Linked DNA regions of Oryzias latipes. The protein of the gene in region 1 binds, or shares a complex with, the protein of each later gene. Links are inferred from orthologs where the notes say so. Each region holds a gene or a part of one and is shown in the gene's direction. Other genes may lie near its edges.

Region 1 (3,765 bases):
TTCCTGAAGCCTTAGGGAATCGAACCACGTCCGCCCCGCCCGCTGTGATCGTTAGCTAAATCCCCGCTAACGCGTGTACTCAATGGCTTCTTCCTGGTTTCTGGTCTCCGTTTAATTAACAAGGTAATTTGCTAGCTAGTTCTTCGACTTAAACTTTAATAAGTCACTGTATTTTATGTTTTCTTGAAGGGTCTCATCCAGAAATCTCTGCGGGAGGAATAAAAACGCACCCATACCCAACCAGGAAGTTTGATTACCCCTAGTAGATTCGCCCTGGGTATGGTCTGTCAGGAGAGAACCCGGGAAGGACTTCCTGTAAACTGACCAATCAGATTATGGTCTAAAATTAAATCCACCCCTTTGGCCAAAACGCAGGGCAATTTTTCTTCCATTTAAAATCATTTTATTTTTTTTACAAGTACTTCCAAAAAACACCCAAATAATCATATTTCTGACAATACATACTACAATACAATGCAATCAAACCACAATTTACAGATCTGAAAATTAATGATATTCCCCTAAAAGATGAAAAAAAAATGCACCAATAAATTAGTAACTCTAACCTTTAAACAAATAACTTTCTGCAACTTTAGTATAAACAATAGACGGGACTTAGAAACCACCCTAATGAACACATTTTTTTCTTTATACACAAAGTACCCACTTCCACCTAAAATGAAAGAAACGCATTTTAAAATAATATCTCAAATTTACCCTGTTGGAGATTTTTTTACATAAAAGATTCAAATTTCAATCGGAGCCATGCCTATTCTGTTAATCTGAAACTGAAACGTTAGAACATCTCTGTTACAGTTACAGATAAAAATATTTTGGACTGATATTCACAATTGGTTGTCACTCAAAGTTTTAAATATTCCCTTTTTTCCTTATCTGTTGTTATTTTCTATATGGAAAATATGGACCCAGGAATTTCTGATGTCATTAATGTTGTTATTATTTAATGCAAAAATTTCATTCATTTATGTAAATGGAAAACTACATGCCCTTTGTTTGGTATTTTTTGAATTACTTTTCTGATTATTATAAGTGTCTTAAATGCATTCCAAACAAAAACAAGAAAACTACAGTAATTTATCAAAATATATCAAACGTACTGTTATTTTGAATTGTTTTTTGCCTTGCCTTTATCATATTTTTTAAATTTTGTTTTGTTTTTTCAATATGCGCATTTATAACGATTGTTCACCCTAACTTGTTTTGTATATGTGCATTTATAAATATAAAAAAATCTGAATATAATTAAATAGAAATATATTTTAAAACTGTCTATATACTCTTTATGATATGGACAAACATAGCACAAGCATCTACATTCCTACACAGAAGAAAAAAAAGATTACTCTCAAAAATGTATTATTATTGTCATTATTTTATTATTATTATTGTTTTTGTATTATTATTATTATTATTATTATTATTATTATTATTATTATTATTATTATTATTATTATTATTATTATTAAATTTTGTGATGTTGAACAGCAGCTCCCACTTCTTCCAGGTGGTGGCGACATAGTTCCTTCATCGAGAAAACTGTAGAAGAAGAGCCTCCCGGCACCGTTTCTTCTTCTTCTGTTTGTTGAGTTAACATGGCAACAGTTAAAGTTAGCGAGGCTGAAAAGGTGTACATTCTACACGGAATAAGAGTGAGTTGTTCTAGAAATGTGTGCTCTATTAAGCTAAATGTCTGTGAAGTTGTCACACCAACCTAAAGATGTGGATGTTTGTATTCTCCTCAGGATGATTTACGTGTGGATGGAAGAAGCTGTGAGGACTACCGACACATGGAAGTGGAGACGGATGTGGTCTCAAACACTGATGGATCTGCCAGAGTCTCCCTGGTAAAATCAACATTTACGTGTGAAAGATCCGCAGAAACAGTGTCTTTATTTTCCTTCCATCGTGCTTCTCAGGGACACACCGCCGTCCTGGTTGGGATTAAAGCAGAAATAGGAAAACCAAGACCACTGGTTCCAGATGAAGGATACCTGGAGTTCTTTGTTGATTGGTAGGTTTAGTGTGCATTTAAAGCAGGTTTGGACATCAAAATGTGCACAATTTGACATTTGACAGAATTGTATTGCATCAAAACAGTAAAGAAAAACATTGAATAGCCTCTATAGTTTATTAAAATGAATAATGTTTGCATTTTTGGCTTGATATAAATATTAGAAATACCTGAACCCTAAACCGTTACATATTTGATTTCTTTTTGGCTAAGTTGGGAAGTCTCTCTTGATGTTTTTGTTGAGATCATTACATGTTCTAAAGCTTATAATGCATGTTTAAATATTTTTTGTGTTTGTTTTTGAAGTTTGAAGGATGTCTTTGTCCTGCGAAGCATTTTAAAGTAATGAGGATGTTTTAAAAATAAAGTTTATTTTGGATATCTGTTTTTGTTTAAATCATCTTGCAGGATAATAAACTCCTAAACTAATAACTGCTGGGATTAACTGTTGCACCATTGACTCAGTTTTCCCCACTTCTCTCCGCTTTCTTCTGATTCTGTAACTCCTCATTCCGATTGGCTGAACTCACCTGATCCAGGTATTCAGCTTTAAGACGTAGAGGGTGTTCATGAGGACCATGCCGGGCTGTTCTGGTTTAAGAATCGGAACCAAACTGAGTTATTGTCAATGTTTGATGTTTTTTTTTGATTCCCTGACATTTTTTTCCCCAACACCCCCAGCTCTGCCAACGCCACCCCCGAGTTTGAAGGCAGAGGAGGTGAGGAGCTAGGGATCGAGCTGAGCAACACTCTCTACAGAGTCTTCAACAACAAGAACAGCATAGACCTGAAGGGCCTCTGCATCAGTGCTGGGGAGCACTGCTGGGTTCTCTATGTAGATGTCCTGGTGAGTCTCTTTAACATAAAAATATAAACACAACATAAAAATGTTAAAAATAAAACAATAAACACAACAACAATAGACGTAAATTCAGTAATAATGCTAAATCTTATGATTTTTAAGTTTTTTAGAATTTTGGGTAAAAAATTGGGTTAAAAAAACAGGTTGAAGTAGACATTTACATGTTTTTTGTTTGTTTAGGAAAAACTTGTTGCTGCATTTAGATTTTTTTTTTAAATAAAGTTAAGCAAGTGTTTTGTTTACCTTGTATGCATTAAAAATGAAATGCTGAAGTATGTCTGCTGTGCTGCTGAGGGGTAGCAGATGGGGTCAAATCAGGTTAAAATTAAGAAAAAATAAGGTTGTAAACTTGAAAAAAGAAAAAGAAGAATGTTTTGAAATGGTGTTAAACTTGAAATTATACATTCTAAACTTGAAGAAATACAGAAAATTGGATACAAAGATTGTAGATTTAAAACTTAAACTAAAAAAACTATAAACTTACAAATGTTACCAAATAAAAAATGATCTTCATTTGTAGCAGCTGCCGTTTTATATAGTGAAGTTTTGGTTTTTTCGTTTGTTTAACTAACAAAAACATACCAGTTTCTAATAAACATTAATTTTATTTCATTTTCACTGTAGGTTTATAGTTTTTTTATTCTAGTTTCATAATTATATGCTGTTGTTTTTTTTTCTTTCTAATTTTAAGCGTCATTTCTTCATAGTTGGGTAAAATAATTAAGAGACACTGATGTAACTCCATAGTAGCACTTCAACTTGTGAAAGTATCAAGAAATATGTATTTTATTTTATTTTTTGTTCCTTAAACCCCAAATAGTCATACCGGCCTGCAGTGGATGCAGTTTGTTTTTCATGGAGGAGGTTTGTC
Region 2 (2,993 bases), on another chromosome or scaffold:
CAGGTCCTGCGGTTTTTGAACAGGACCTGGTCTAAGGTGGACTCAGTGCGTAAAATGCGATAAACATCAATCTATTTCAGATTTTCACAAATCAAAGGAAGGTTTCACAAATCAGAAACTATATTTAATGTGTTCTTTAGTATCTAATGTATAATTTAATCCAGGTTTGAGCAGTCCAGGTCCAGCGGTTTTTGAACAGGACCCGGTTTTGGGTGATCTTAATGCGAAAAATGCAGCGGAATGTTTCTTTTGTGCCTTCGCGAATCGGAAGCTGTGAATCGGAAGCCAACTTCAGCGTCGTAAACCGCCATTATACTGACAGTCATCATTTCTTTCAAACTGGCCCTAAAACTATACTATATTTCGAAGCAAAGGTAAGTAAAACTATTTGGAAAACCTTTCATTCTAAATCTGACAAATCAAAATGCACTAACTGACCTGACGCTAGCAAACTGCTATGCTAGCCAGTCAAAAGCAACCGCTGAAATTTCCGTCCCTGCTAGTGAATTTGGAAGTCAACTATGAGGGGAAAACTAACCGGCGAATCAACACAGTGAGTGTCATTTACCCAAGCAAGTAGTTTGACTCACATAAGATGCTGTTATCACAAAACGAACCGGTCACAGCTCCCCAAAACACCGCTTCAGTCCACGCTGCTCGCTCAGAAGGGAAGTGCAGAGGCGATGGACACGCCCACGGACGCCACCTATTGGTTCAGATGTGCAGGAAGCCGGCGAACGCTCAATCCCATTGGTCGAGCCAAGCTGTCAGTTTTAGCCGAGCCCGCCACATTAGTGGTGCAAACTCCTCTGCTGTGGTTGATGCAATGAAAAAGACGCAGATGCCAACTAGCACGTACAATTTATTTTAGTTGTGCAACGAATAATTAATTTCTAACAAAAGTTATACACATTCGAAGCATTTCTAGCTAAAAGAAAAGGCGTAACGGAATTTTGCTTTGACTAAATTGCTAAGATTTAGCTATTGCGTGTATTTTATTTACTGTTACAAATAAAATATGTTGAAAATTAAATAATACCATCAGAATTAATTTATTTTTTATGAATAAATTCAAATTAATAAAGATGATGAAACATGACAACACTATCGGAACAAGCGGAACCGTGTTGCTGTGGGGACAGATTTATTGACGGACCGATCCCTGAACACCCGCTTCATTCGGTTCACGTGAGAAGAGATCGCCATGCCGACGGACACCAAACGTGTACGCGGGCCCGAGGTGTCTCAAAGCCCGTCTTTGTTTGACTGCAGACCCTCTGTGGTTCCCCCGTCGCATGGGGCCCGAGCGGACGGCCGCCAGCGGGACCAGGTGGACGTCCGGCCGGTGTTTGTGCGCTGCGGCCTGGTGAGTCAAGCTAAAGGTTCCGCGTACATAGAAGCTGGAGACACCAAGCTGCTGTGCAGCGTTTACGGCCCGAGAGAGACGGAGCGGAAAGATGAGACTGACATGAAATGTGGACGGTATGTAGTGGTCTTCATCCAGTTTTATAATGGAAGACTAATAGAAATATGTTTGCATTCAATGATATAACAAAGTAAAAAATAACTATGTGATAAGGCTGTAATTGGATTCTGCTAGAATTAGTAAAATAGAAAATCAGTTTAATTTTTTAAACAATACATTTAAAGTCAAAAGTTGATAAATCAACACATCTGCTTAACCAGACTGACCACAGACATGCGCTTCGCCCCGTTTTCCTGTCCGGAGAGGGGCTCCTGGATCCAGGGGAGCCAGGACAAGAACTTCTCCCTGATGCTGCAGGAGAGTCTGCAGCCGGCCTTGTGCCTTCACAAATACCCCCGCTCCCAGATTGAGGTCAACGTCATGGTCCTGGAGAACAGCGGTTCGGTTCAGGCCCACGCCATCACGTGCGCCTCCCTGGCACTGGCTGACGCGGGGATTGAAATGTACGACCTGGTGCTGGGCTGCTCCATCCGACAGGATGGCTCCTCCTACGTGGTCGACCCCACTTACTCAGAAGAGAGCAACTGGAGCAGCAGCGAACACCAAGGAGGGCTCACCGTGGCGTTTCTCCCCAGCCTGAACCAGGTTTCCGGCCTGCAGTCGGATGGAGAAATGGCTGAAGAGACTCTGACGGCAGGGATTCGGACCTGCATTGAGGGATGTTACAAACTGTACCCAGTAATCCAGCAGGCTTTGGTTAAGGCTGTGCGCAGAGCGCAACCCCCACCACCCGAAAGCTGAGAGGCAAAGTCAACACTATTTTTTGTCTGAGTCTTCAACAAGAACTTTAAAATTCAAAACAGTTTTTCACCTTGTTTCTTGATCTGAGGTGAAAGGATCCGCCAGCGTCCCCCTGATCTAAGAAACAGATTGATCCTATTTATTCATTTCTCCACCGTCTGCCTGCAGGACAAAACTTTGAGTCAGTTTGTTGATTTTTTTTTTTCCCCCCATGCCCCAAAAATCTAAATAAGGTAAACAAAGTTTTTCCTGCTCTTTATGCTATAGGGGAGAAAAAAGAAAACAAATTATGAAAAACTGAGAATGACTGGTTTAAAAAAAGAAAATGTTTTAATGCAAATGTCTGTTTTGTTATTTTAAAAATAAAAATACAGAATAAAAAATAAAAAATCCTAGTCTTTTTGTATTTTGGTTAGCATTTTATCACAGAAATGTATAATACAGAAGGTCAGATTGCATTTGTTTGCACATTTTCTTTAAAGAAAAAGTACCAAACTCCTATTTGTTCTCCAAAGTGAAACTCAGCTTGGATATTATATGGTAATGTGTCACCCGTGTTTTCATTCAGGATCTGATACTACGCTTTGAATTGCTCCAATTCAGGAAAAGTGACACAAGCTCCACTACCTCAGTATCATTTGCCCATCGCTAGTTTGTAATATTTATTCCATTTTTTCCTGTTTTACTAAATAGTTTTCTTCCTTCTAGTCTTTCCTAATAAATACACCGTAAAAAAATACATTTTTTTATACATTCTTGCTTCAAA
Region 3 (2,216 bases), on another chromosome or scaffold:
ACCAGTCTTGAGGTAACTTTGTAGGTTTATAAATATTTTATGTTTCAAAATGATCAAAAAGTGTCATCTAAAAAGTGTTAATTGTTTTAAAAATATTTTAACTGATTGAGGCTTAGCTTTGATTCCCATTCTCTGGCTTTTGCTGTGTCATCTGAAGAATCCTTATTGAATGTATCTTTTTCTTTGCACCATTGAATCATCCACCCCATCTAACCCCATCTCCCCTCACACCAATCACCCTCATGTCCTCCTTTATTACATCCATAAACCTCCTCTTTGGACTTCCTCTAGGTCTCTTTCCTGGTAGCTCCAATCTCAGAATCTTTTTACCAACATCATCATTGTCCCTCTTCTTAGTGTGTCCAAACCATCTCAATCTACTTCTCTGCATTTATCTCCAAAACATCGAATACAAGCTGTTCCCCTGATTTTTTTTTCCTTCCTAATCCTATCCATCCTCATAACTCCAAAAGAAAGCCTCGGCATCTTCATCTCTGCAATCTCTAGCTCTGCCTCCTGTGTTTTTCTCAGAGCCCTTGCCAAGACTGAGGCTGCTCTAACCAATCGTTTGCGCCTTTCTGTTCATTGTTGCTGAGGCTTTTAAAAAAAATGTAATATAGCTAATGTTGTGAATCTTTAAGCTTTAACTGATATTCACTCTACCTCAATCACAGTTCTTTGCTGATGTAAATCAACTCAAAACTAAGATCGTCTTTGAATGATAGTCATTTTGAAAATGATATGTTATTCTCCTGCTTCTGGTAGATTTCCCTAAACTAAACTTAAAAAAAAAATCAATTTGTGGTCTTTTTCTTTGCAGCCTGTTAGCCTGTCAGATCGAGAGGTGATTTCACGGCTGAGGAACTGCTTACTGGCCTTGGCTGCACACAAAGTCCTTTTGTACGACACCAGTGTTCTCTATTGCTATGAATCTTCCCTGCAGCATTCGGTAGGAAACCAAAAGTTAAAAAAAAAAATACCCATAATATTTCATAAACCGTGTCCTTTTTTCTGATACGATGAAATAAAAACCTTGCAGTGATTATACTTTTTGTTTTTGCAATAAATTGCGCCATCTGGTGGTGACATAATAAATCGGCCTGGAACTAGGAACCTTCACATTTATTTGTATTTGCAGAATGGAACAGACATTATTTATTGAAATAAACAAATCAGATATAAATATATGTTTTTAATTTATTCTGAGAAATGGTAAATTTATGAGCAATTCGTGTATTTTGGTGAAATGCATGTAACTATAAATGTTTCTGGACTTTTACAAAACGATAACAACCTGTTTTAAAGATTTCCCTTTTCCCTGCCTGTAGGTCAAGGACATCTTAAAACCCGAGGTGATGGAAGAGATTGTCATGTTGACCCAACAGAAGCTGCTGGAACAGGAAGGATAAAAGGCTAATGCTAAAACCACATCCAACAACGGGGCCACCATCCACTTATCCAAAAATTAAGTTTAGTTGTCTTCTATGAATCAAAGTGAGGTGCTCAGAGATCACATTCTTTATTTGATATCAAACATTAATAATGCATATAACCTGAATGAAAATTAAAATGTTGTCCACATTTGTAAATGCTCGGTGTGACATTACATTGTGATGGTTTTGTATAAAATAAAATTTCAGTCATTTCTGTATAGTTCTCATCGTGGTCTGTATTGATAAAAAACAATGAGTACATTGAATCAATTAACCTATAAGAACCCATGGTGGACATAATTGTAACAAAATCATCAAAAGTGTGTTCTTTGGTCCACTTGGATTTTTGTATATTCAAAATAATTTTCGTTTGAAGGAAAATGGGTCTTCAGGGTTAATGTTAGATCTTAAAATAAATCTGATTATTTCACTCTTCATTAAATGTTAAATTAAATATTGTTAAATGTTTAGCAGCATTTTGGTGCTTCATGCTTCTACTAACTTAAATACTTTTTTTTCATAACAGTCTGAATCATTAGCTCTCAAGAAATGTTTTTTATTTTAAACAATAAAAAAATGAAATTCAATTTGCTACATAAAATATTTATTAGTTGGAACATGGCCTACATTTCCCTTTTTATGTACTAATTTTTGAAAATTCATTAATTGTTAGTTTTATATGCAGGATTTAATTTTTTTTCTCATAGTTGTTTGATAACTAAAAAAAATGTTCTACTCTAAGACAGGTTAATAAAAAGTGACTTTATTTATATAAAAGTGTGC

What was found.
Region 2: exosc7 (region 1) and exosc6 share a complex: the UniProt entries of both Homo sapiens proteins name them as parts of the RNA exosome core complex. The link is inferred for Oryzias latipes from reciprocal best matches to the Homo sapiens genes EXOSC7 and EXOSC6.
Region 3: exosc7 (region 1) and exosc2 share a complex: the UniProt entries of both Homo sapiens proteins name them as parts of the RNA exosome core complex. The link is inferred for Oryzias latipes from reciprocal best matches to the Homo sapiens genes EXOSC7 and EXOSC2.

The regions. Positions count from the first base shown.
Region 1 is NC_019869.2:5,728,454-5,732,218, reverse strand, and holds the start of exosc7 (exosome complex component RRP42), read left to right. Parts: upstream 1-1,531; 5' UTR 1,532-1,613; coding exon 1,614-1,670; intron 1,671-1,763; coding exon 1,764-1,865; intron 1,866-1,937; coding exon 1,938-2,032; intron 2,033-2,713; coding exon 2,714-2,879; intron 2,880-3,765. UniProt on the Homo sapiens protein: Non-catalytic component of the RNA exosome complex which has 3'->5' exoribonuclease activity and participates in a multitude of cellular RNA processing and degradation events.
Region 2 is NC_019864.2:25,018,326-25,021,318, reverse strand, and holds exosc6 (exosome complex component MTR3), read left to right. Parts: upstream 1-825; 5' UTR 826-1,204; coding exon 1,205-1,482; intron 1,483-1,686; coding exon 1,687-2,227; 3' UTR 2,228-2,421; downstream 2,422-2,993. UniProt on the Homo sapiens protein: Non-catalytic component of the RNA exosome complex which has 3'->5' exoribonuclease activity and participates in a multitude of cellular RNA processing and degradation events.
Region 3 is NC_019870.2:12,827,942-12,830,157, reverse strand, and holds the end of exosc2 (exosome complex component RRP4), read left to right. Parts: coding exon 1-12; intron 13-820; coding exon 821-949; intron 950-1,328; coding exon 1,329-1,409; 3' UTR 1,410-1,653; downstream 1,654-2,216. UniProt on the Homo sapiens protein: Non-catalytic component of the RNA exosome complex which has 3'->5' exoribonuclease activity and participates in a multitude of cellular RNA processing and degradation events.